Linked DNA regions of Drosophila melanogaster. The protein of the gene in region 1 interacts with the protein of each later gene in a biochemical or structural test. Each region holds a gene or a part of one and is shown in the gene's direction. Other genes may lie near its edges. The genes, in order: Ubi-p5E, LUBEL and CYLD.

Evidence for each region.
Region 2: of the proteins of Ubi-p5E (region 1) and LUBEL, one has a biochemical effect on the other in vitro, tested with the Drosophila melanogaster proteins (one study listed by BioGRID).
Region 3: of the proteins of Ubi-p5E (region 1) and CYLD, one has a biochemical effect on the other in vitro, tested with the Drosophila melanogaster proteins (2 studies listed by BioGRID).

Annotation. Positions count from the first base shown.
Region 1 is NC_004354.4:6,275,079-6,282,869, reverse strand, and holds Ubi-p5E (Ubiquitin-5E), read left to right. Parts: upstream 1-3,222; 5' UTR 3,223-3,734; intron 3,735-4,116; 5' UTR 4,117-4,121; coding exon 4,122-5,726; 3' UTR 5,727-5,994; downstream 5,995-7,791. Other genes in the region: CG11700 (uncharacterized protein), read left to right, coding at 1-592; CG3566 (uncharacterized protein), read left to right, coding at 6,231-6,338, 6,412-6,500, 6,574-6,642, 7,700-7,787.
Region 2 is NT_033779.5:6,766,145-6,773,769, reverse strand, and holds the start of LUBEL (linear ubiquitin E3 ligase), read left to right. Parts: upstream 1-2,801; 5' UTR 2,802-2,884; intron 2,885-3,060; 5' UTR 3,061-3,125; coding exon 3,126-3,179; intron 3,180-3,236; coding exon 3,237-3,435; intron 3,436-3,499; coding exon 3,500-3,636; intron 3,637-3,688; coding exon 3,689-3,817; coding exon of another isoform or gene 3,818-3,841; exon of another isoform or gene 3,842-3,933; intron 3,934-4,033; coding exon 4,034-4,372; intron 4,373-4,642; coding exon 4,643-4,924; intron 4,925-4,977; coding exon 4,978-5,266; intron 5,267-5,324; coding exon 5,325-6,512; coding exon of another isoform or gene 6,513-6,559; exon of another isoform or gene 6,560-6,674; intron 6,675-6,756; coding exon 6,757-7,184; intron 7,185-7,243; coding exon 7,244-7,625.
Region 3 is NT_033779.5:10,294,235-10,303,419, reverse strand, and holds CYLD (cylindromatosis), read left to right. Parts: upstream 1-3,572; 5' UTR 3,573-3,673; intron 3,674-4,199; 5' UTR 4,200-4,215; coding exon 4,216-4,376; intron 4,377-4,430; coding exon 4,431-4,639; intron 4,640-5,006; exon of another isoform or gene 5,007-5,291; coding exon of another isoform or gene 5,292-5,397; exon of another isoform or gene 5,398-5,442; intron 5,443-5,483; coding exon 5,484-5,715; intron 5,716-5,813; coding exon 5,814-5,989; intron 5,990-6,049; coding exon 6,050-6,204; intron 6,205-6,263; coding exon 6,264-6,482; intron 6,483-6,560; coding exon 6,561-6,795; intron 6,796-6,854; coding exon 6,855-6,996; intron 6,997-7,051; coding exon 7,052-7,248; intron 7,249-7,309; coding exon 7,310-7,503; 3' UTR 7,504-7,561; downstream 7,562-9,185. Other genes in the region: nmd (no mitochondrial derivative), read left to right, coding at 1-749; CG13138 (uncharacterized protein), read left to right, coding at 1,465-1,476, 1,561-3,198; hand, read left to right, coding at 8,121-8,211, 8,361-8,557, 8,791-8,946.

The DNA of each region.
Region 1 (7,791 bases):
GATACAGGACAAGGAGGAAAACCCCCCAGAGCATCAGCGTTTGATCTTCGGCGGAAAGCACCTGGAGAACGGACGCACTCTGTCCGACTACAACATCCAGAAGGAGTCGACCATTTACTTGGTCCTGCGTCTGCGTGGTGGCATGCAGATCTTTGTGAAGACCCTCACTGGCAAGACCATCACCTTGGAGGTCGAGCCATCCGATAGCATTGAAAACGTTAAGGCCAGGATCCACGACAAGGAGGGAATCCCCCCAGATCAACAGCGTTTGATCTTCGCCGGAAAGCAGTTGGAGGACGGACGCACTCTGTCCGATTACAACATCCAGAAGGAATCGACCCTTCACTTGGTCCTGCGTCTGCGTGGTGGCATGCAGATCTTTGTGAAGACCCTCACTGGCAAGACCATCACCTTGGAGGTTGAGCCATCCGATACCATCAAACACGTCAAAGCCAGGATCCACGACAAGGATGGAATCCCCCCAGATCATCAGCGTTTGATTTTCGCCGGAAAGCAGCTGGAGGACGGACGTACTCTGTCCGACTACAACATCCAGAAGGAGTCGACCCTTCACAGTCACTTTAAGTGGTAGAGAGCGAAAACAAATTAACCCACCGTGAGGGAGAGAGCAGGCGGCGAATTTCCAGTCAACTTATACCTATACCTATAAATACCAGCGCGCTGCTGTAAAACGAATCGTAAGCTGTGAAAAAGTCGTAGAGAGCGGACGTCCGAGCAAGTGAAGAAAGCAAGTTTTTGAATATTTCAAAAAGTGCAGACCAAATGTAAAGAAATAAATTAGCTTTTCTGTGCGAAACAGGAAAAAAATTCCGGTTAGTTTGGCAAGTGTTTCATAGTTTTTTTTAGTTGCTTTTAAAATGCCGAAGCAACAAGTGCAGTAAGCGAAAAAGGGTGCATTCCATGCATCTGTGTGTTTTTTTTATATACGGCAGGAAAATGAAATTCAAAGATACCGTCCACCGTCCGTAGATGGCATGCACGATTCATAACTCTCAGCTAGAGAATTATGCCTACGTACTAAACAAAAATCTCTGATCTCTCTCCTGTCCTTGTCAAGCTCACCGGCACTGCCAGTCAAAGTATTTTATCGGTGAGCAGGTCATGGTCAGATCCGACGAGCGATGCGGAGATCGTGATGGGGACTTTGTTCCCGCCCTTGAGGAGGCACGCTAATGAAGTCCATCGTCTTCTGGCTTGTGGCAGTCATAGAAGCTGTAGGGGCCAAAGTCTCCACATCTACAGCTGCACTGCAGTCGCTAGTTTTCGGCTGCTTGCTCACCCCTCGCTCCGTGAATTGGAGTTCGGACTCCTCTTGTAGGGGATCTCGATAGGCTGTAGCTCCTCCTGAACGGGTCGTTGGGATCGGGCACTGCCTCCCCTGTTCTGTCCATCTGATCTAATGGGCGGACTACGGCTTGTTGGTCACCAACGTTAGAAAGGGATCCATTGTGGGCCACGGATTTCTCCCTGGCGTTTTACCGGTGGAGGTTTATGCCGCCTCTAATCGGACACCAGAGCCTTTGCTTAGGCATCAGAACGGCGAGAGGATGATTAGTTGTCTGTCCGCGACCTTTAAGCCTTTTCCCTTTCTAAGAGGTTGTTCCGCTCCGAAAGAATCAAAACATGTTTAAATTCTTAATTCAAATTTTAATTTTAATTCAAATTAATTAATCCAAATTCGAATTTGAGCATGAACACACTTGTCGTGTGTGTGTGTGTGTGTGTGTATGCCCAGTTCCAGGGGATTTTATTATTATTTTTTTTTGACTAAGTTAGAGATTAGTCACCAAACCTAAATTTACTGTAAATTAACGAAAAAACCAATAATGTTTGTTTTCTGTATGTGTATGCTAAAATACTCTTCTGGGTCGCGGGAATTGGGTCACTACGCAGAAAATCAATTTCCTTCCACTTTCCATTACTCAGCCAACTTTTTTCCTTTTCCATTTCTCCACTCGCAGCCAATATGCAAATTTTCTTTAAGACTCTGACCGGCAAGACCATCACTTTGGAGGTTGGACCATCCGATACCATTGGGAACGTCAAGGCCAAGATCCTAGACAAGGAGGGAATCCCCCCAGATCACCACGTTCACCATGCGAACGGAGGTGGAGCGCATGCTGACGTTGATTGCCCAGGGATCGGCTAACTTTCAGGATGTTTTGCGACACGCCATCAAGATCTTCAAGCTGAAGTTTATGTACTTTGTGAAGAACATCGACAGCATGGACGCACTGTTTCAGGTATCCTTCTCGCCGCTGGCCGAGTCGGGCATTGCACTGCTCTACCGGCAAGATTGCACTGCTCTCATTGCGATGAGACATACGCCCTGCCCATTGGAATGTGAAGGTGTATCGCGAGTTCAAGTGCCCGCTGGATGATCTGCTGGCTTTCTCCACTGGCGTGAAGGGGCGTTCGTATCCGTTCTGCCCGTACTGTTACAACCATCCGCCGTTCAGCGACATGCCCCACTTGGGGGGCTGCAACACCTGCACGAACGCCAACTGCCCGCACTCGCTGAACACGCTGGGCATCTCCAGCTGCGTGGAATTCCATAATTGTAAAACATTTCTTATATTTGGATCCATAAATACATTAATTTATTTCTTAATATAAAGCAAACTTAATGAAATCTCGTGTAACTTGGAACTATTTTATAGTAAGAAGCTACCAATTCCAAAAAAAACTTCACTTTTTTGGAAGGAAAAACTTTATTTTGTTTTTTTTTTTTTGTCATATCATGGGGAATACATGTACACTGGATTGTTAGTATGAGAAATTCATGACAATTATTTGAATAATTGTATATATTATCCTATATCTTTAGTTTGTACTTAAAGAGTTAATAACGTTTACTATTTTAAGGGGTTACATCAAGGGTTAAGCTGCTGAAATCAGCATACATCAGATTTCATCAGACCCTTCCATTCCTGGAACTTTCCAGATGCAATTGTAATGCATATGTACATATGGAAATAGCATTGTACGCATACTGGCTTATGTGCGAGTGGGTTGGTGGGAAATTTTAAATTGTTGGGCTCTCTTGTCTAAAGGCTGATGACCAAAGCGAAGACAAATCTCCCAGGCGGCGTCAAAACAAAAAAAGGTCGATTAACTCGCCAAACAAAGAACGTCACAAGAAGATGTCTGTGCGTCTACATGCATACATATGTATGTATATACAAATTTATACACCTCCCTCTGTTAGAATACACACACAAACGCATACACTTCAACAGCTGAGATTAGTGTTGGAAAGAGGGTCAGGCAACTTATCGATAACTCCGCTCTCTCGCTCACGAGAGCGAGCGAGATAAAAGCAGTGCACATATGCACTACGCATTTTGTTTTCAATGCCCAATTTTGCGTATTGCAGCTAGCCAATTGATTGGCCTTCATGTGTTAAATACTCTTGTCAATGCGAAATCTCATTTCCAATAGACTAGACAAAAGAAACGGTCACTTTAAGTGGCAGAGAGCGAAAACAAAGTAACCTACCGCCCGAGAGTGAGCGAGAGAGCAGGCGACGACTTTCCAGTCAGCTGCCTATAAATACCAGCGTGGGGCTGCGAAACGAATCATAAACTGTGAAAAAGTCGTAGAGAGCGGACGTCCGAGCAAGTAAAATAAAAGCAAGTTTTTGAATATTTCAAAAAGTGCAGACCAACAGTAAAGAAATAAATTAACTTTTGTGTGCGAAACAAGAAAATAAGGTGAGTTCAGTTTGGCAATTGCTTAATAGTTTTTCTTAGTTGCATTCAAAATGGCGATGCAGCAAGCAGAAAACGGTGCTTTCCATGCTTCTATCTATGTGTGTGTGTGTGTGTGTGTGTGTGTGTGTGTGTGTGTATGCCCAGTTCCAGGGGATTTTTTTTAACGAAGTTAGAGATTAGTCACCAAAACTAAATTTGCCATTTCATGGCGAAATAATGCAAGCTGTGAAAACATTAACGAAAAAACCAATAATGTTTTCTGTATGTGTATGCTAAAATACTTTTCTGGGTCACGGGAATTGGGTCACTACGCAGAAAATCAATTTCCTTCCACTTTCCATTACTCAAGCCAACTTTTTCCCTTTTTCATTTCTCCACTCAGGCAATATGCAAATTTTCGTTAAGACCCTCACTGGCAAGACCATCACTTTGGAGGTTGAGCCATCCGATACCATTGAGAACGTTAAGGCCAAGATCCAGGACAAGGAGGGAATCCCCCCAGATCAGCAGCGTTTGATCTTCGCCGGAAAGCAGCTGGAGGACGGACGCACTCTGTCCGACTACAACATCCAGAAGGAGTCGACCCTTCACTTGGTCCTGCGTCTGCGTGGTGGCATGCAGATCTTTGTGAAGACCCTCACTGGCAAGACCATCACTTTGGAGGTCGAGCCATCCGATACCATTGAGAACGTTAAGGCAAAGATCCAGGACAAGGAGGGAATCCCCCCAGATCAGCAGCGTTTGATCTTCGCCGGAAAGCAGCTGGAGGACGGACGCACTCTGTCCGACTACAACATCCAGAAGGAGTCGACCCTTCACTTGGTCCTGCGTCTGCGTGGTGGCATGCAGATCTTTGTTAAGACCCTCACTGGCAAGACCATCACCTTGGAGGTCGAGCCATCCGATACCATTGAGAACGTTAAGGCCAAGATCCAGGACAAGGAGGGAATCCCCCCAGATCAGCAGCGTTTGATTTTCGCCGGAAAGCAGCTGGAGGACGGACGCACTCTGTCCGACTACAACATCCAGAAGGAGTCGACCCTTCACTTGGTCTTGCGTCTGCGTGGTGGCATGCAGATCTTCGTTAAGACCCTCACTGGCAAGACCATCACCTTGGAGGTCGAGCCATCCGATACCATTGAGAACGTTAAGGCCAAGATCCAGGACAAGGAGGGAATCCCCCCAGATCAGCAGCGTTTGATTTTCGCCGGAAAGCAGCTGGAGGACGGACGCACTTTGTCCGACTACAACATCCAGAAGGAGTCGACCCTTCACTTGGTCTTGCGTCTGCGTGGTGGCATGCAGATCTTCGTTAAGACCCTCACTGGCAAGACCATCACCTTGGAGGTCGAGCCATCCGATACCATTGAGAACGTTAAGGCCAAGATCCAGGACAAGGAGGGAATCCCCCCAGATCAGCAGCGTTTGATTTTCGCCGGAAAGCAGCTGGAGGACGGACGTACTCTGTCCGACTACAACATCCAGAAGGAGTCGACTCTTCACTTGGTCCTGCGTCTGCGTGGTGGCATGCAGATCTTCGTTAAGACCCTCACTGGCAAGACCATCACTTTGGAGGTCGAGCCATCCGATACCATTGAGAACGTTAAGGCCAAGATCCAGGACAAGGAGGGAATCCCCCCAGATCAGCAGCGTTTGATTTTCGCCGGAAAGCAGCTGGAGGACGGACGCACTCTGTCCGACTACAACATCCAGAAGGAGTCGACCCTTCACTTGGTCTTGCGTCTGCGTGGTGGCATGCAGATCTTCGTTAAGACCCTCACTGGCAAGACCATCACCTTGGAGGTCGAGCCATCCGATACCATTGAGAACGTTAAGGCCAAGATCCAGGACAAGGAGGGAATCCCCCCAGATCAGCAGCGTTTGATTTTCGCCGGAAAGCAGCTCGAGGACGGACGCACTCTGTCCGACTACAACATCCAGAAGGAGTCGACCCTTCACTTGGTCCTGCGTCTGCGTGGTGGCGCCATCTAGATTTTTTCACCCTTATAAAAATTGAAGTTAGTTAGTTGTGCCACAGGGCATAACTCAAGAATTCATACTAAGTTTTAGTAAATTGGTTTATTCAAAGGCACAAAATAATCAATCACAATAATTATTGGTATTCGAAGAATAAAATTTTCAATTTGTGTGTTCAATGTAATACTCTATGTAGTTTTTATCTGTGTTTCCCAGGGTTTTTAATTTTGTGGGGGATTCTTGATAGAAAGTTGCAATAAACATTGGATGGCGTTGGAGTGGTGGATTTAATTTGAATATTTAAATTTGTAATACTCTATTGTATTTTACTGGAATTGTACCACAGGTACATTGGAATTATTGCTTAGGTACCTTATGTGGTATATTTGGGGTATTTTGTGTGACCAGCTGACTCCAACGAAAAGTGGAGCCGGCCACACTGGAATAGTCCGAAAACCTGTTAGCTTGCGTTATTTAGTTAAATTTGCGGAGAAGAGCAGGCAGGCGCAGTCAGGCAAGATGAGCAAGGAAATCCGTTTGGCCACCGTCAACGAACACAACAAAGCCACGGATCTGTGGGTGGTCATCGACAACAAGGTCTACGATGTGACCAAGTTCCGTCTCGAGGCAAGTGGCGATGCAGATTGTTGGTTTTAGGGGGGGGTGGCGAATCCATCTAATTCGATGCCCTTATCTCCAGCATCCCGGTGGCGAGGAATCCCTGGTGGATGAGGCCGGTCGCGATGCCACCAAGGCCTTCAATGACGTGGGTCACAGCTCGGAGGCGAGGTTAGAGAGTCCATCTTATAGCCAGTGCGCCTGGATCACCTGATTCACATTTCTTCCCCACTTGCCTTTTCAGAGAGATGTTGAAGAAATACTACATTGGTGACCTGGCTGCTGCGGACATCAAGAAGAAAAGCCCAATTAGGTGAGAATCCTGTCCAGCAAGTGCATGCAAAGACCCAACCAAGCCAAAATGCCATATCATCATGTAAATAAAGAAAGCCCTGCGGATTTCCCTTCTCCGCTCCCACACGGATTGATCTCCTTATCTCGCTAGAACACCAGTATTCCTGATAAGGCATTTCATCATCATCATTTCGTACGCTCCACTTTCCTTAATGCATGAAGCTCCTATTCCGACCACAACCGGTTTCGCATGAGCATGGCCTGCGTTTCAATCAATAAGTACAATTAGCCAACTCTTATGTAATCCATTAATTGCCTCGAAGCCCCCAAAGTTTCACGCTTCACGTGTCCTGAAAGTCTCTATTTCGTACACTTTTTGGTGTACTACTTTGATACCCTTTGATACGATTGGATACCCTGAAGAAGATAATGATGATACAGAAGTGTTCCTTAAATTATATCAATTATTTATATTCCCATATAGAGTATCAACTTTTTCTTTACCAACCGCTAACAAAGCCACAATACTTAATATTTAATGAATCTAATGAATCTCAACTTGCATGTATGATATTTGCTCCATTCAAGATTTAATTCCTTCTCAAGCACGAAAATAAGGTTCTACAAAAGCTAGTTGGACTTGTAAGTTCTAACCACTGACCTGTGTACATATATTACCCATCATGATTAACCCAAAGCACACGTCAAGCAACTGGAATTATGTACATATATAAATGTGATAATCTAGAATACCAACAATTTGCACGCTGTAATTGGTCACTCTTTGGTTTTGTGAATGGCACCCCACCTTGACTTGCGTTTTTATTTTGATTCTTGGTTCTGTGCCTTGGTAAAGTGCCACGCCTACTGATGCCGCCGCCACCCCCAAGCAATGCTGCATCCTAAGTTAAATCAACCCCTCTAGAAATGCCTGCAAAACCGTGTAATCCTAGCTAGCTAACCAAAGTGCACCCAGTTTTGTTGTTGTGACACCCAGTCGGTCGGAGTGCCTTATCCTGACCATGATACTCCCATTGATTTAAACCGCCTTTCATATTCTCTATTCCATGCAACAGCTGCCGTCATGTGGCACTGGCCCTGGGCGCCGCCTTCATCGGCATCTCGCTGGTCTATGTGATCCGACGCGGTGTGGCCAGAAACTAGTCTG
Region 2 (7,625 bases), on another chromosome or scaffold:
AAACATCGGCTTGCGTCAAACGCGGCAAGGTCACTGCGTGGGCGGCCCACCCATTTTTGCAGGATGGTGGGCAAATGGTCTCCCAACCGAAAATGTGCGTGCCGGCAATTGTCGAACTTTGACTTTGTCGCGCAGCCAATTTATTATGCATTGTATTTATTTTTAGACCAGCTAGCTAGGAAAACCGAAAATGGACCCACCCACGGAGGCTTTAATTCCATAATTCCCATCCATCGTCCATCCATCGAAATTGCCACTCGATTTGCACCTCCGGCCGGCAGCAGGTGGCCCATGGCGATGCTTTTATTGCTGATACCATTTGTTCGATCCAAAATTAATAGATGTTCTTCTTTATTGTTAGCATTAAATGTGCAGAATTTGTTCAAGGCTAAACTGCGGGAGATCCCTTCAGATACTTGTTTTTCATAAATCATAATTATAGCTGGCGTGTATCCCGATGAACGATTCAGCGCTTTCCCCAGGCGCCACGGTTTTTTGGATAAAATATTAGATAAATAATAAGAATTAATGCGGAAATATTTATGTTATCTGAAATTCCATTGAACTTGAACTTTGGTAATGATATATGTAGGTACGCCATAAAGTTCAATAGTCGATCAGATCGCAGGACATCAATTCGATACAATTGTCATATTTTCATTCATGAAAAAGAAACGCAACAAGTAATCAGTTCCGTATAACAACGTAAAATGTTTAACAACAAATAGCTGAGAATGATATATATTCGAGAATTAATGATATTCACACACGCGACGGCGTCTCGCAGTCAAAATGTTCTATGCCGCTCGAAAACGATGTATTTATAAAACAACGCGAAAATGCTGAAAATAGGAAAGAGATGCGACTGATCGAGGATTGAGGGGATCACCAGGGGGAAACCGTACCAGACGAGACCAGAGGAGCACATAGATCTGCGTTGACTTCCTCCTACTCGGGCGACGACTGGGGACCGCGGACTGCAGTAAAAGTGCTGTTTAGAATCTGATTGAGATTTCAGTTCGCTGGGAGACGATCGTCGAACGAGACCGTAGCTGAATTTTCATGTCGCGCTGTGGCTAGATATCAGGAAAATATATATATCCCTATATATATATATATATATATATATATATATATATATATATATATATTCATGTGCTACCAGCTGGCAGTGGCAGTTTTGAGTGCGGCAAGACGCGTCAAGTGAAATCGAATTATGTAAGTGACCTCTGATTTCGCGGATATCCAACCGTTCATGGTCGATCGAATCCATTACGAAAGTTCAAAAGCCAATTTAAAATCACACCGCAATTAAATCGATCTCAAGTGTTCTAAATATAAAACTCAGCTAATTTTAAACGCGGAGAACGCTCTCCATGGGAAAGTTCAAGGCATTGGCCGGGATAAACAATCAAAGCGTAAAATAAAGTATACAAAATTAAATCAAATTTTTTAAGCTAATTTGCCAATTTGAAATAATGAAAAACTGTGAACTAAAAAAAAAAACGCAAATATAGGCAAGCCAAAGAAATGTTTAAAAATAGTTCCCACCGTTCGTTCTCCTATAAAAATAAAACTTTTTCCCTCGCCGCGTGAGTCTGTGTCTGTGAGTCAGCGTTGCGTTTGCCTCTTGCCAGGCCACTTGCCACTCGAAGTCGCCGCACGGAGCAGGCCGATCTTCTGGGCGGGATTGAGGTGGCACCGGGCCATGCCCCTCCCACCACTGCAGGCGGCTTTCATAAATATTGCTGCACAGTGTGACACAATTTCGGGGCAAATGTATGGAGTGGCTGCGGATGGTTTCAAAAATAGCGCAACAGACACGGGAGTGCAGGCCCAGCGAACACGTTGCGTATACGCAATGCGAGAGAACAGTGTGGCTTGATTTTTGCTATGCTGGCTGAGGCGTCGCGACTCCGAAATTTATGGATAAATTTTATGGCTCGTTACGCACTTAACTAGTGCGTGGAAAATATGCCAGAGCTGCTGGATTAATATATGCTCTAAAAGATATTATTGAGATATAAAACATATTCAATAAACGGGAAATTGTCTCAAAGTATCAGGAATATAAAATGTAGTAAGGAAAACTTTGAAGTGCAGATATGTATATTAAAAAGTTTAATTAACATTCAATCTTAACTTACAAGAATATGCAAGAGATAAATGATTCCTTGGTATCATAGATACACATTTCATAAAACATGAAGAAACATAGATATCTAATAAGTTAATTATATATGAAATATTTAGTTATATACATATAACTTTTACCGGTGCGTTGCCCTTTGAGTTGAAAAGTTTGATGCCTTGGACGCAATTATAGTAAACTTAAAATATATACTAAAGTCAGCATTTGAAATACCTTTACTAATGGAATTATTATGTTGTTTAGGCCATTATTTAATTTAAACTATTTGGCAACGATTTGGCCACCTGCGTCATTACCAAATGCATATTCGCTCAGCTTTTAGTCAATATTTTCCCTCTCTCTGTTAGTTTTATTCGCTCGCTTTTATTTTCAAGCATTTACATGAAATACTCTTCTATTCGAAACTTTTGAGAACTATTTTCAAATTCGAATTCTTCTCCCTAGTCTAATCTCTTTTGCAATTTTCTTGGCATCTCAGCCACTTAGCCGCGTTGACAGAATGAGTCGATTGAGTCACAAAACAGCACTTCCCTCTTTCGCATGATTTCATAAATAAACAAGACCGAAAATGTTATGCCAAAATATATACATTTTTCAATTTTTGTTTTCTATGCACCGAAAGATATTTTCGACTACATTTAGCGTTTTTATTCGCGATCGAACTGTGGCAGCGTTTAGTTTTGTGCACGGCATCCACGAAACTGCATTTTGGTCATTGGCTTCGGAATTTGGGTGAGCCAGCTAAAAATATGCATTCATAATTCGCATTTTCTGGCACTTTGCTTAATTGAATTTGAAGTCGTTTGAAGTGGCTGCGGTTGGGCGAAAATATGGCACAGGGTATTTGCGATCTATAAATAATTATAATAATATTAATATTTTGCTGCTTACGTATTTCGATGAAATAGAAAACCAATCAAGCGCAAAAAGACGATTAAGTGACGGCAAAACCCAGACGAAAAAATCGACCAAGATGACGACCCACCAGTTGCTAAACAAGAATGTTCGCACCATGCCCTCCTGGGTGGTAAGCCAATATCCAGTTTGCCAGTCAATATCCAATTGCACTAATTACCCATTTCAGATGGAGGCAAATGACCGCATTGGGCCCAAACCGCCACCCACGCCACCAAACGGTGTGGCTGGTGGTCTTCCCAAGGCGCCTGCTCTGCCGCCCAAGGCGAAGAGCACTCCCGAGCCGGACTACGAGATCATCGAATTCTCCAGCCAGCAGTACTCCAACGAACCGATGAAGACCACAGTGATCAGAACCAAGACACCAGGTGGGCAACCTTTTTATATATTCCACTTATTTAAAATACTACCAGAGATAATTATCACTTGCAGATAACAAACTAAAGTGCACCTTGTGCGGTTCCCAGAATCCCTGGGTAACCTGTGCCGAGTGCGCCGGCCAAATCTTTTGCGCCTCCTGCGACGACATGTTCCACAAGCATCCCAAACGTAAGCAGCACATGAGAAAGGTAAGTTCTCCCGATCCATTATGAATTTGAACTTAAGAACTTCGTTTTGCAGGCTGTGGAGCAGGGCACACCGCCGATTCCGCCAAAGGCACAGGCCGGTGGTGGGGCACCACCACCAGTGGCACCTCCACGACGCAGCAAACGAGGCCTTTTGACACCGTTTCTGGGCCGCAAGGATCAGGTACGCCACTGCACGATCTCCTAGACCCGTAAGAAAGGCTCCTTCATGGGCTACACGTAGTACCAAGTTTGTAAACTTCAATTTGAATGCTTCAATAAAAGAGTCCTTACAACCAGAACGCCCGACCAAAATTGTAGAAACAGCGATCCAGACATACTTTTTCAATTGTTACCCGAATACCCATACGAAATGGCACCCAACCCGACTCTTTTCCAGATGCTGCCGCCGCCCTCGCCCACGCCCTCGCACAAGTCGCTGGGCGGCTGGCGGGGATCGCTCGGTGGCGGGGCCACGCCCCCAGTGCCACCAATTGCCACCAGCTCTGCCAACCAGATGAACAACCGACCACTGCCCGATCCACCGCGCAGCGAGGGCGGGGGATCTTCCAGATCGGGCACCCCCAAGTCCGTGTTCGACACCATCCAGCGACCGCCGTCGGTGCAGCTGGAGAAGATCAAGAGCAAGGCCAGCGCCACGCTGGACCGCATGGCCATTCTGCAGCAGCGGTACCGCCAACAGAAGGCTCGCCAGGATCTGAGCGCCAACAGCGAACAGGTGAGTGACCCGTTGACCCCGAATCACAATCGTACGAGTCCCCTCATCACTGAGTGTATCGTATTGTCTTTGCTCGGCGAAAATTGTGTCAAGGATCAGTTATAATTGTAAATGAAATGTTAATTTATTAATCATTGATCCTTGATAGTATTTGATCCTTGCACTTCGTATCGTATCGTCTCGTCTCGTTTCGTCATGTGTCGTTTCTCCCTTTCCTCTCTCTCTCTCTCTTTCTTTTTCCGTTTCTCGTTGGTCATTTCCCAAGCGCAGCATTTGTCGAATGAAGCCGGCTTCGAGCACTGGTCAAACATTTCACCATCGCCCTCGCATTTTCGTTCCGGCAGCATGTCATCCGGCCTGAACTCATCCCATTTCGATCTCTCGGATGACTCACAATTTCACAATTCCTTGCTGCTCCAACAACGACAGGCGGCCGGCGCCCAGCGGCGACAGATGAGCACATCGGTGTTCAATCTCAACTCGAATCCACGTCGACCACTGTCCGAGGCCCAAAACGGAGGTGCCTGGCTCGCCAATCAGCGCATCCAGCAGGTGAGTTAGAGTTTCATGCTCCCTTAGAAACTAAGATACCATCCCGCTTGCAGGCCCAATCCCTGGCGCAGCTAAACTGCGCTGGATGTCAACAGAGTCAGCAGCATCCTGGCTGGGCACAGCATCCGCACCAAGCACTTCCTCAGCACCAGCATCCCGATCAGTGGTCACAGTTCGGCTCCCAACAGCAATTCAACAACTCCAATCTGTCCCTGAACGTTGGACCGGGTTACATGTCGCAGCAACATCATCCACACTATCCGCCACCAGTGTTTATGACCCAGCGTGGTATGATGCCCAATGTGTATCCAGGAGCACCAGGCTATCCCATGATGCATCCAGGTAAAATGAGGCACTATTAGTTATATTTTAATTTACATATTGCACTTTAAATGCGCAGGTGTCATGGGAATGCCACCTTCAGCTGCCTCCAGAGCTGCATCCCGTTCCCGGTACGCTGCATCACCAACACCCAGCCGCAAATCGATGTCCTTGCGTCGCAAGCGCAATAGCTACGTGGATGACGAACTTACGGATGACGAGGACTCCGACCAGGATGACCGCAGATCTTTGGTGTCCAATCGCTCGGGCATGACTAGTGCCTCGCGCTCCCAGCATCACCAAAACCATATCCAGCCCCGCCAAAGGCGCCTGTCCAGTGCCTCCCAACTCATAGCCAGCGATGAATTGGACGGCGATCAGGTGCATCACAAGATGCGGAATCGTCGGGGATCCATTGCCAAGTCCGTGCAGAGTGAGTGGCTACCGGAGCGACGGGAAAATGAGGGAACCCTTACCAGAAACAAAACAGCAACGGACTCGGCCAGAACCAGTCGCATTTACTCCGATCTGGAGTCTGAGGGATCGGGTGCTCGGGCCTTGGTTCAAGCTAAAATTCAGCAGAAGCTCCAAGAAGCCGATCAGCACAAATCCTCGAAGAAGGCTGAGCCAAAACGCAAGCCGGAGATGAAGGACGAGAATACACAGGCGGCAGCGGTGGTGCAAAAGGTGGTGGTGCCACCAGCCCATGAAGAGAGTGCCTCGGAATACGAGGAAGTGGTCGAAGAGGTAACCGCCTCAGAGAGTGAGGCTGAGGCTCAAACAGCACCCGATCCCCAGGAAGTTCCTGACGAGATTGGGGCTGATGATCTCGGCCCACCACCTTCTACCCCAGACCACGAATGGGAATGCGAGTTCTGCACGTTTGTGAACGAGCCCAACATCAAGATCTGCTCCATATGCTGCAAGACGCCCAGCAAACCTCCAGTGCAGCCCAACAAGGCCAAAAAGGTAGAGGAAAAACCACAGCCTCCAGCTGAAAAGTCTAACAATATCAAGGCGTCTTCCAAGACGGAAACTAAGCCAGTGCAAAAGCCTACTACAAAGAGCCAACAACCCAGTCAGAAATCCGTTGCTGCTCTTTCGAAGACTACTCACACCAACTCCACGTCTAGCTCAAAAGCGTCGCCAGCTGTAAACTCCAAGACCACCTCCAGTATTCCTATCAAGACACCATCGAAATCCACACTGAAAACTTCGTCGGAAAATGAATCCGATAACTCGCTGGCCAAGAGTCTTCTGCACAAAGGTAGGATACAAAAGAGAATCTCATTTTTCGAAGGCACAAAGACCTAAGCCCAACCACCAAAGACTATACCTAGTTAGTACACTAATAGAGCCATCAACTGTAAGCCTACAATTAACGCATTTATGGAAACGAAATACAAAAGAGAACCATAACCCAAGCCGCATTCCGTTTGTTTGATTTCAATCCGTTGGTGACCCCGATCCCGTTCCCCCAAAAGCTAATGCTCTCATCCGTATCGTTCCAGAGTCCGTTGAAAACATTTGGAATACTCTGGATGAGAGCATACAGGCGCAGGCGGAGCAGGTACTCAAGAAGGCTCAGAAGGTCTCCACGGCCTGTGGTGGGACTCCTCCCCGGGAAATAGCAGCTGTGGAGATGGGAACCTCCCCGCCTCCACAAAGCATTTCCACACAGACCTACGACGCTCTGCCCTTCAATACAAAGCAAGAAGAGATCATCCCCGTTGTTCCTGACCGCTTCACGACTCCAGAACCAAACAAGATGGAGCGACGTCCGCACTATCGCAGCAATTCCCAGCTGCAACAGGAGAGTGAACGTTATCGGAGTGCCAATGACCTGAGGTATCACGACGGCTTTGGATTGGATCCATATAGTGCCGGTCTGGTCACCAAAAGACCCAATTTCATAAACGAGCTACGCATGCTGCAGCTTGTAAGTATCTATGGCAATACTTGATAGTTGACATAATCCAACGGATCCATGTGTTACAGCAAGTATCTTCACCTTTCGATATGCCGCATGAGACATTCGGAGTCAAGCATGAGCCGGCCAGAGATCCGGAAACGGAAATGCACATCATACTGAAAGAACTGGAGCTGTACAAGTTTACGGTTGAGGAACTGGAAGCTGCCCTTAAGTACTGCTCCCCGGAGACTCATCCGATTCAGTGGCTGCGCGAGAACTGGCACAAGCTGGTGCAGACGGTGCAGAGTTTGTCAACCAAGTACGGACAGGAGAGGGGTGAAAACACGATCGGAACTGTGTCCCAAAACGAAGCACGCGAGGCATTGCGCAACTCGGGGGGAAATGTGTGGCAGGCGGTGGCTGACTGCATCCAACAGAGGCAGCAGAAGTACAGGAAACTGGCGGCCA
Region 3 (9,185 bases), on another chromosome or scaffold:
ATCTCTTCAAGCATTCGAAGCTGTGGCAGGCGCCCAAAGGCGTCCTGCTCCATGGACCACCGGGCTGTGGAAAGACGCTGATAGCGAAGGCGACGGCAAAAGAGGCGGGAATGCGCTTTATCAACTTGGACGTCGCCATTCTTACCGACAAGTGGTACGGGGAATCCCAGAAATTGACTTCTGCTGTCTTCTCGCTTGCATCGCGAATCGAGCCATGCATTATTTTTATTGACGAAATAGACTCATTTTTGCGATCTCGAAACATGAACGACCACGAGGCTACCGCCATGATGAAGACCCAGTTTATGATGCTGTGGGATGGCCTCAGCACGAACGCCAACTCGACGGTGATTGTGATGGGTGCCACGAACAGGCCGCAGGATTTAGACAAGGCCATTGTGCGCCGCATGCCAGCCCAATTCCACATTGGTCTGCCCTCGGAGACCCAACGAAAAGACATCCTGAAGCTGATCCTCCAATCGGAGGAAGTAAGTCAGGATGTCGACTTGAATCGCTTGTCCAAGCTCACAAATGGCTTCTCGGGCTCAGACCTGCGGGAAATGTGCCGGAATGCTTCAGTTTACCGAATGAGGCAGCTCATCACGTCCAGAGATCCGTCAGCTACAGCGCTTGATCGCAACAACGTCCGCATCACCATGGACGATTTGCTGGGCTCGCACTTAAAAATTAAGGAATCAAAGATGCACACGAGCAGCCTATTCTTAGAGAATAGAATCGAATTAGATTAAGCTGACCATTGTTTATTCAAGCTCCCGATATATCCAACTTAAATTTGTATAATAAACTTTTTATTTGCCTTTCGAGAGGAGCTCCAATGTTATGTGTTAATTAACCCTGTTCTCTGCATTCCAAAATGGGTATCCGGAAAACGTAGTTTTGGTAGTCTTGAAAACAGCAACGGATACTGCAGGAAATTACACAATCCATAGCATTTCCGTAAAGCGGAGCTCAATGCACTTTAATTATTACATTTACGGGCTTCTGTGAAATATTCACCTAGAGAAATTTCAAACATTTATAAAGATATTGCACTTGTACACTTCTTCAAACACACACACAACTTGCGTCACGCGACCGTGGGCTTTCAATCGTAAAAAAAAATATAAGTAAACTTGTGCAGTTTTATTCTCTTTTAAAAAGGTCGTTTATTTCTGACGGCATTTCAAAGCTACACATTTGTATATCTAATTAAAAATGAATAAAAACATGCATACATTTTAAATAATCAAACCAAAACAAATTAGTTCTTGATGTTTTTGTATAATTTCTTAATTTAAGAAAAATATAGAGTGTACAAACTTCAAGCGAAGAAATTTGCTTCTGCACATTTTAATTATGTTTCGTGCTCATATAAATACTTTCTTCGATTGGCTCAAATCATTTCTGTTGAAGGCGTTGATTAAACCACTTCAAATCCAAGCGAGACTATATACTTAACAAAAAATGAACCCAATGGTAAGCTATATTTCCAATTTGTCTTTTTGATAGGAGATATTTTGTATGTACATACTTCATTTACGCGCATCCTTTCTATTTCAGTTAACTTTGATTCCTGGATACCTATTCATAACCTTAATAATTATTGGAAGTACTGCACACAGTAATTCCTATGCTGTGAATAAAACCAATAGTGTCGAAAGTGCCGAGTGGAGCTATCCTGAATACGGAAAAGGATCTACTCACAATACCGGAAGAAGATCGGAAAAGCTGGATCTGCAACATTATAATCGGGAAACCGAACGCAATGTGACTTTGAAACGCGGTGTGAAAAACTATCAAAAGCAAGGCGATAAAATGACGAGGAATAAACTGAAATATAAGCCATCTGGTGCTCGAAGAAAAAATGTGAGTCCCAATTATGCGGATGAGAGTACGGAAAGTAGGCATTATCATACATTCGAAGAGATCCACGAGCATATCGATGAGGACGATGGTCAATACCAGGCATCCGAACAGGTCGGAACACAAGCGATTCTGCACGAACATGTCGAGCACTCGAGTAAGAAGGATGCGAAGCGGATGAAGGTGAAAATCAAGCATCATCATCACCACCATCATCACAACCACATAAAGGAGCTGATCAAAACAGTACCACAACCGTATCCCGTGGAAAAGGTCGTCCATGTGCCCATTGAGAAAATTGTCGAGAAGATCGTACATGTGCCCAAGCTGGTGAATGTTACAGTTGAGAAAATAGTGCACGTGCCTATCGAAAAGATAGTGGAAAAGGTGATTCACATCCCAAAGCCAGTCCAAGTGCCCAAACCATATGTGGTCGAAAAGATAATTGAGAAAATAGTCCACGTACCGAAACCGTATCCAGTGCTCCGGACTGTTCCGTATCCGGTCGAAATAAAGGTGCCAGTTCATCTCGAGAAGAAGGTACCAGTGCCCTATAAGGTTGAGGTAGAACGAAAGGTTCCCGTTTACATTCGTTCCAGCGAGCCATATAAGTTCGAGTCATCATCACTCTACGAAAGTTATCCACGCGGCGAGGAGTTCAAATTTAACATGGAAATGGATCATCCACCGCCCAGAGAACACGAACCATCCAGCCTACCATCCTCAAACTACTACAACAGGATATACAAATCTAGGGAATTGGATCATCCTCCGAGGATGGAGGACTATCAAAGCTCCGTGCCCACACAGTTAAAGCACGATTACGCAACGAAAACTAATCTCGATCAGCAGTTTAAAAACGAGTACGTGACGAAAAGTAGTATTGATCCTCAATTTAAGCACGATTACGTGACGAAAAGTAGTATTGATCCTCAATTTAAGCACGATTACGTGACGAAAAGTAGTATTGATCCTCAATTTAAGCACGATTACGTAACAAAAAGTAGTTTTGATTCGCAGTATAACCAGGAATACGTACCCAAAACTAGCATTGAATCGACTTCTCCTGGACGGGATGGGGTTTCCCTGAAACTCGTCGGTCCCCCTACTCCTTTCAATATCACGGGAAAGGATTTGGAGACCGCCAACTCTGCTCCAGACTTTGTCAATAGCTCCAACGTAGACCTAAGTCCACAGGAATCGGCTAATGCCTATCGCGGTATGCCATTCTCCATACCATTTCAGTTTGTACAACTCCAACCAATGGCCTTTCAAAGTCCTATACATGTGGAACTGCCAATCCAATCCGCTTCAGCAGAAGGTGCTCAAAAGTGATAATCTAATCAAATGTTTAGCGTAAATAATCCTATTCAGAGAATTATTATATACCTGACAGACTTTTAAAAGACTTTTTCCCCACAATAAAAAAAATGCTAAAAAATAAGTTGCTTAATATAAAATATAATGCATATTAGAATATATAAAATTGTTTATTTTGTTGTTGTTAAAAGTTTATGATAAAATTCATAAGCAATAAAACATACTAAGCCTAACAAGCAACGACAAACAAATCGCAATATACTGTTACATATTCTATATAATAAAACCGTTTTTAAACCGTTATTACTTTGTTTTTTTGACTGTATTGTATTTTTTTGGTTCAAGATTACCCCCAACAATTGTCGATTGCGGTAAAATCGATAACGATATCCAGAATTCATTCCAATCGCATTCTAAAAGACACAAATTTTATAAATACTAAACAAAAATCCAGGATATAAACACCTTTTTATTTGTTAGTTCAATTTATGTGTGTTTGTATTAAAACTCAAACAGGGTTGCGCTAAAAACTTAATTGGTCATTTGGTATTTCAGCGAACAGCAATATTATTAAACCAATGTAGTCGCGATTGTTGTGTGTCATTGTTTTTATCAATTAGGGAAAAGTTGCTAACGAATTGTGTTTGTTATGCATGTATTTCCTGTTACTTGTTCTGTGCAGTCCTCCTTGGCAAATAAATATTTAATGCAAGATTGAAATTAGCGTAAAAACAATGGAATGTTTATTGAACTACTGTTACAGCAACCTGATGTCTCTTACATACTTACGTGCATATGTACATATGTATGTAAGCGACTGCAAACTAAGCAGTTACAAACAGAATCCGTCACATCGAGTATCATTGATTATTTCGTTTAACAGTTTTAACTCGACTGTAGAATACTCTCTGCCAAATATATAGCATGCTCTTTAAAATTTTTCATAAAAAAACACTTATGACCAATACATTTTGTATATCCTTTTTATTTAATTACTAATACAAATGTTATTATAGCCTTTAGTTGGAAATAATGAATTCCAAATCCGATTATGAAGCAGAAAAAGAAAAAAAGCTGACCATAACAAATAGATTCGGGGACTCCCTGGAAAACTATGAACTATCCAACGAGAGCGAGCACAAGACCCATGTATACCCGAAAAAGATTCCTAACAGAAAAAACGGAATTTTAAAGTACGTAGTAAAACTGTTTCAATTCATTTAAAGCTAATAATGAGCGATTTTTAGAAACACCGATGCCAACCATAGTGCCGTCGATAATCAACATCTTGAGGATGTGGATTTGGCAGACATTTTGGGCACAAATTGGCCAAAACGAGCGGGACCAGCTGCAATGATCTTAAACAACAAAAGTAAAACGGATCCTAGTAATTCTGTAGACTTAATTTTAAAACCAGCCTCACCCATATTAAAAATAGAGCCGGAGGAACCTTTACGTAAGTTTATTTTACTGTCATTTCTTCAAAAAGAAAAGAAATATATCATTATTAAGAACTAAGGAAGGAATCTGTTCCGACCTGCTACATTCTTGGTCAGGTTTACTAGCTCTCTTAATCTTAATCCTGTTTGTCCGTCCATATAAATAACGAGATCTCAGGAACTGTAAAAGCTAGTTCTAGTTAGTGGAATTACTCAAGCAGTCTTCTGTACTGCTTGCAAAAGACATTCAAATTCTGCCTGCTACATCACTCCTTGTGCTGGTTGTCTATTTTCAAGTGTATCGCACTTCTTTTAGCTGAGTAAACAGGTATGTAATAGTCGCTTCTTTCGAATATAGCGTTCACTGTTATTGAATCTTTTATTCTCGATACTTTACAGTTGTTGTAAGACTTGTATTCACTTTGCTTCCTTGCAAAAGACAACGAAATGAAAACGTCTATTTATTTATAGAACGCCGGCCAAATACATAACGACACATACATATATTCTATTTACGTTCACGTAAAACGGCAGTTCTCTGAGTTGATATATGCAGTTTGTCGAGGAGTTTTATTTGTTCTGCACTTTATCAAAGTTCTCAATTGCTGAAAAAAAAAAAAACATAAAAATTAGTAAAGAAATTAAAATTGTGCTGTGCGTCTTTCAAAAATGAATATATACCAACAAAAATTGTCTTCTGACTCGGATATCCACAATAATATTCCATTAACAGTGCTAGAATTTTATTCACCAAATTTATTGCCCGAAGAACTTGGTATGATCTATTATGAAATCGTTCCGCTTTTTTTAATTTGATTTTCTAAGAAATTAAAATTTATTTTAATTTTATTCTTGTCCTAGGTTTTACAATCGCTGATTATCAACCTCTGATTGAAATACCTGGAACCGAGCTAGCGATTGGTTCCCTCGTCGAAGTCTCGAATCCTGGAGTATGTGAAGATCTATATGGCGTTGTGAGATGGATAGGTATACCGCCTGGCCCGCAAAAAAACGTACTCGTCGGAATCGAGGTAGAAGACGAATCCAACTTGAAAAATGTAGTGGCATCGGATGGGAGACACAATGGCGTACGGTATGTCATACTTTTAAACATTTAAAACACATAAATAGGTACTCATACAAGAAAAACTCTTAACTGAAAAATATCTTCTGTGTTGTGTTTTGTTTTAGCTTATTTACTTGCCATGATGGTCGAGCTATTTTTGTACCAGCCAACAGATGCACCGCTGACCGGCGATTTGCTGATGTAGATAATAGCATTTCTGCAAACAGAGTTTCTAGTAATCACGCAAAGAAATTTGGCGTCGCTGACTGTCCTGCCATATATGGCTCGATACCACCATTACGTAAGATAACAATAAACATTTAATAAAGGAAAGGAGTTCATGCAGCTATTTGTTTTCCAGAAATACACAATTCCGATGAGCTTGCTAGCATATGTGGAAAGTTCAAAGGAATACAAGGACACCATAATTCCTGCTACCTTGATGCAACTCTATTTTCCATGTTCACTTTCACCAGTGTTTTCGATTCAATTCTGTACAGACGTCCGGGCCCACAAGTAAGTTATTCGATTTGTCTGCCCAGCTCACCAATAACAAATTATTTTATTTTCAACAGGATATTCGAAATTACAGTGAGGTTCAAAAGGTTCTGCGCGATGAGATCGTCAATCCATTGCGAAAAAACGTTTTCGTTCGATCCGATCGTGTGATGAAACTGCGCGAGCTCCTAGATCAGCTAAGTTCGGTCAGCGGTCTCACCTGCGAGGAAAAGGATCCTGAAGAGTTCCTAAATAGTTTGCTCTCACAAATAATGCGAGTTGAACCGTTTCTAAAGGTGCTTATTGTACTCATTATTGCATAGATTTTTATACTAAATAATTTACATGTTTTTTTTTTTTTTTTTTTTTTGTAGCTAAGCTCGGGGCAAGATTCTTATTTTTACCAACTCTTTGTGGAGAAGGATGAGAAGTTAACATTACCGAGTGTGCAACAATTGTTTGAGCAAAGCTTTCACTCATCGGATATAAAACTAAAGGAGGTTCCTTCTTGTTTCATCATTCAAATGCCTCGTTTCGGAAAGAACTACAAGATGTATCCAAGGATATTGCCATCGCAGGTTCTTGATGTCACAGACATAATTGAAAATTGTAGGTGTTCAACAATATAACAATTTGCATTTCGAATCTTAACAAAATTCAACTTGCAGCTCCTCGACAGTGCTCACTTTGTGGCAAACTAGCTGAATACGAGTGCCGGGATTGCTTTGGCAGCTTGCAGGCTGGATCAGGACTGGAATGCACCGCCTTTTGTCCAAAATGTCTCAAGACATTTCACAGTCACATCAAAAGGTCAGCTATCTTCATAGATAAATGAATGAAAACCAATTAAAAACCTATCTTTCAGAACGAATCATGTGTCGAAGAAGATTTATAGTCCGAAGGAATTTAAAATCATGGCCGAGCACATGGTTGTCCCGCGATTGTACATGGAGTTATTTGCAGTCGTTTGCATAGAAACATCTCACTACGTGGCATTTGTCAAGTCTGGATCCGGACCAGATGCTCCATGGTGTTTCTTCGATTCAATGGCTGATCGAAAAGGCAAGCAAAATCTTAGTTTTAACCTAACAAGTTTCTTATACTTACGCAAATGTTATTTCAGGCGAACAGAATGGATACAATATACCTGAAATTACGTGTGTTCCAGAATTAACACAGTGGCTCTCGGAAGAAGGCGCACGATCTATAAATGAAACTTCAACGAACGATAAAGTATTACCTGAACACGCCAAGCGTATTTTTTGCGATGCCTATATGTGTCTGTACCAAAGCACAGATATAATGATGTACCATTAGAGCAAATTTATCAATAAATTAAATGAATGCAATAAAATTTTTGTAAAAATCACATGTGAAATGGATTTTGTGCCTATTAATGGTTATTGGTTTGTTGAAAAATATGTTTTATGATATTAATATGGGTAGGCTTTACATATATAACAGGAAAAAATAAAGATAGGTGGTTTTCTATAACTAATATACCAAGTAGCTTATATTTTTTTTACAAAAAGTTTGTAACAATTAGGAAGTGCTTTTTGTTAGGAGAAGTTTTCAAGGTGACTCCAGAAACAGGACTGAACCATCTAGAGAACTACGGATCACTAGACCATGAAAGGCAGTTCATATTCCGGATATATATGGATGTATGTATACACGGGAGTACATACATACATATAAATCTTGAAGTGCCCACCATTGGTCGACGCAAAACGTCGGCGATTGCGATTGGTGGATTTGGAGGGAGGATATCCAGATGTTGTTCACTCGACGGCGCACATTCACTAAACAAGTGAAAAAGTTTTTCAGTTACTTGCCAGACATCAAAGACGAGTTTTACGTGCGACGCACTATCTGCGAAAATGTCGATCTTAAGCCGCGAATTTGATTTGAATTTAATTACGTTAAATTAGAAAATGTTTAAGAATTCCGTTGCCTTGACGTGCGAATACTCAACCATGTATTATAACTCAATTTATAATACTTCCAACATGTTCGACATGAAACGTAAATGTTTAAATCATTCTTCTTACTTCGCTGTTATTTAAATAAAATTGGGACAGTGATTTGTGGTACCAATTCCAGTACAAAAGCGACTTTTATTTTATATTTTCGTGTGTATGGAAAATAATGTATATATTTTCCAAATATTTCAGACTCCGAAAGTCAAGTTCAGCAACAAATATATAACACAAGTCACCTAGGTTATGTGCCAACTTCGAATACTCGGATTGTTAAGAAACGTAATACAGCTAACAAAAAGGAGAGAAGGCGAACCCAAAGTATAAACAATGCGTTTTCCTATCTGCGAGAAAAGATTCCCAACGTTCCTACAGATACTAAATTATCAAAGGTAACTTCACCGACGGATAGATAATCTTGAATTTAATACTTAAATACACCAATAAGCACATGAAGGTTGGATTTTAATGTTTCCTACTTAAGTCAATCTTAACTATATTCTACTTTTACTTTGTTTAAGAATTAAGATAAAATAGCCAGCGAAAAATATATTTTATAATAACTTATTCAATTATTTATAAATTTGAAGTTTGTTTGTGTCCGTTTGCTTGGTTTACTTGACAGATTAAAACATTGAAGTTGGCCATATTGTACATAAACTATTTAGTTAATGTTCTTGATGGAGATCTGGATCCAAAAGGCGGATTTCGAGCCGAACTTAAGCCGGTCAGTCGAAAGATCTGTAGCGAAAAGAAGCACTGTTTGAAATCAGAGATTCAAGTAAGAGAGTAATTTACTTTGTCATGCTTTCAATAACAAACCAATCACTACATATATTTAAATTGATCGCTTTGAATTTTGGATTTAAGTTTATCCGGCGGAATAACAATTCATACATATTTTTGCCGCTTTTCATGCATTCAAACAAAAAAATTATTAAAAATCTTTTTTGTTTTTACTGTAGGTAAATGAGTTAAGATACCATAACCTAATTGATATTTCATTCAAAAAACATATTG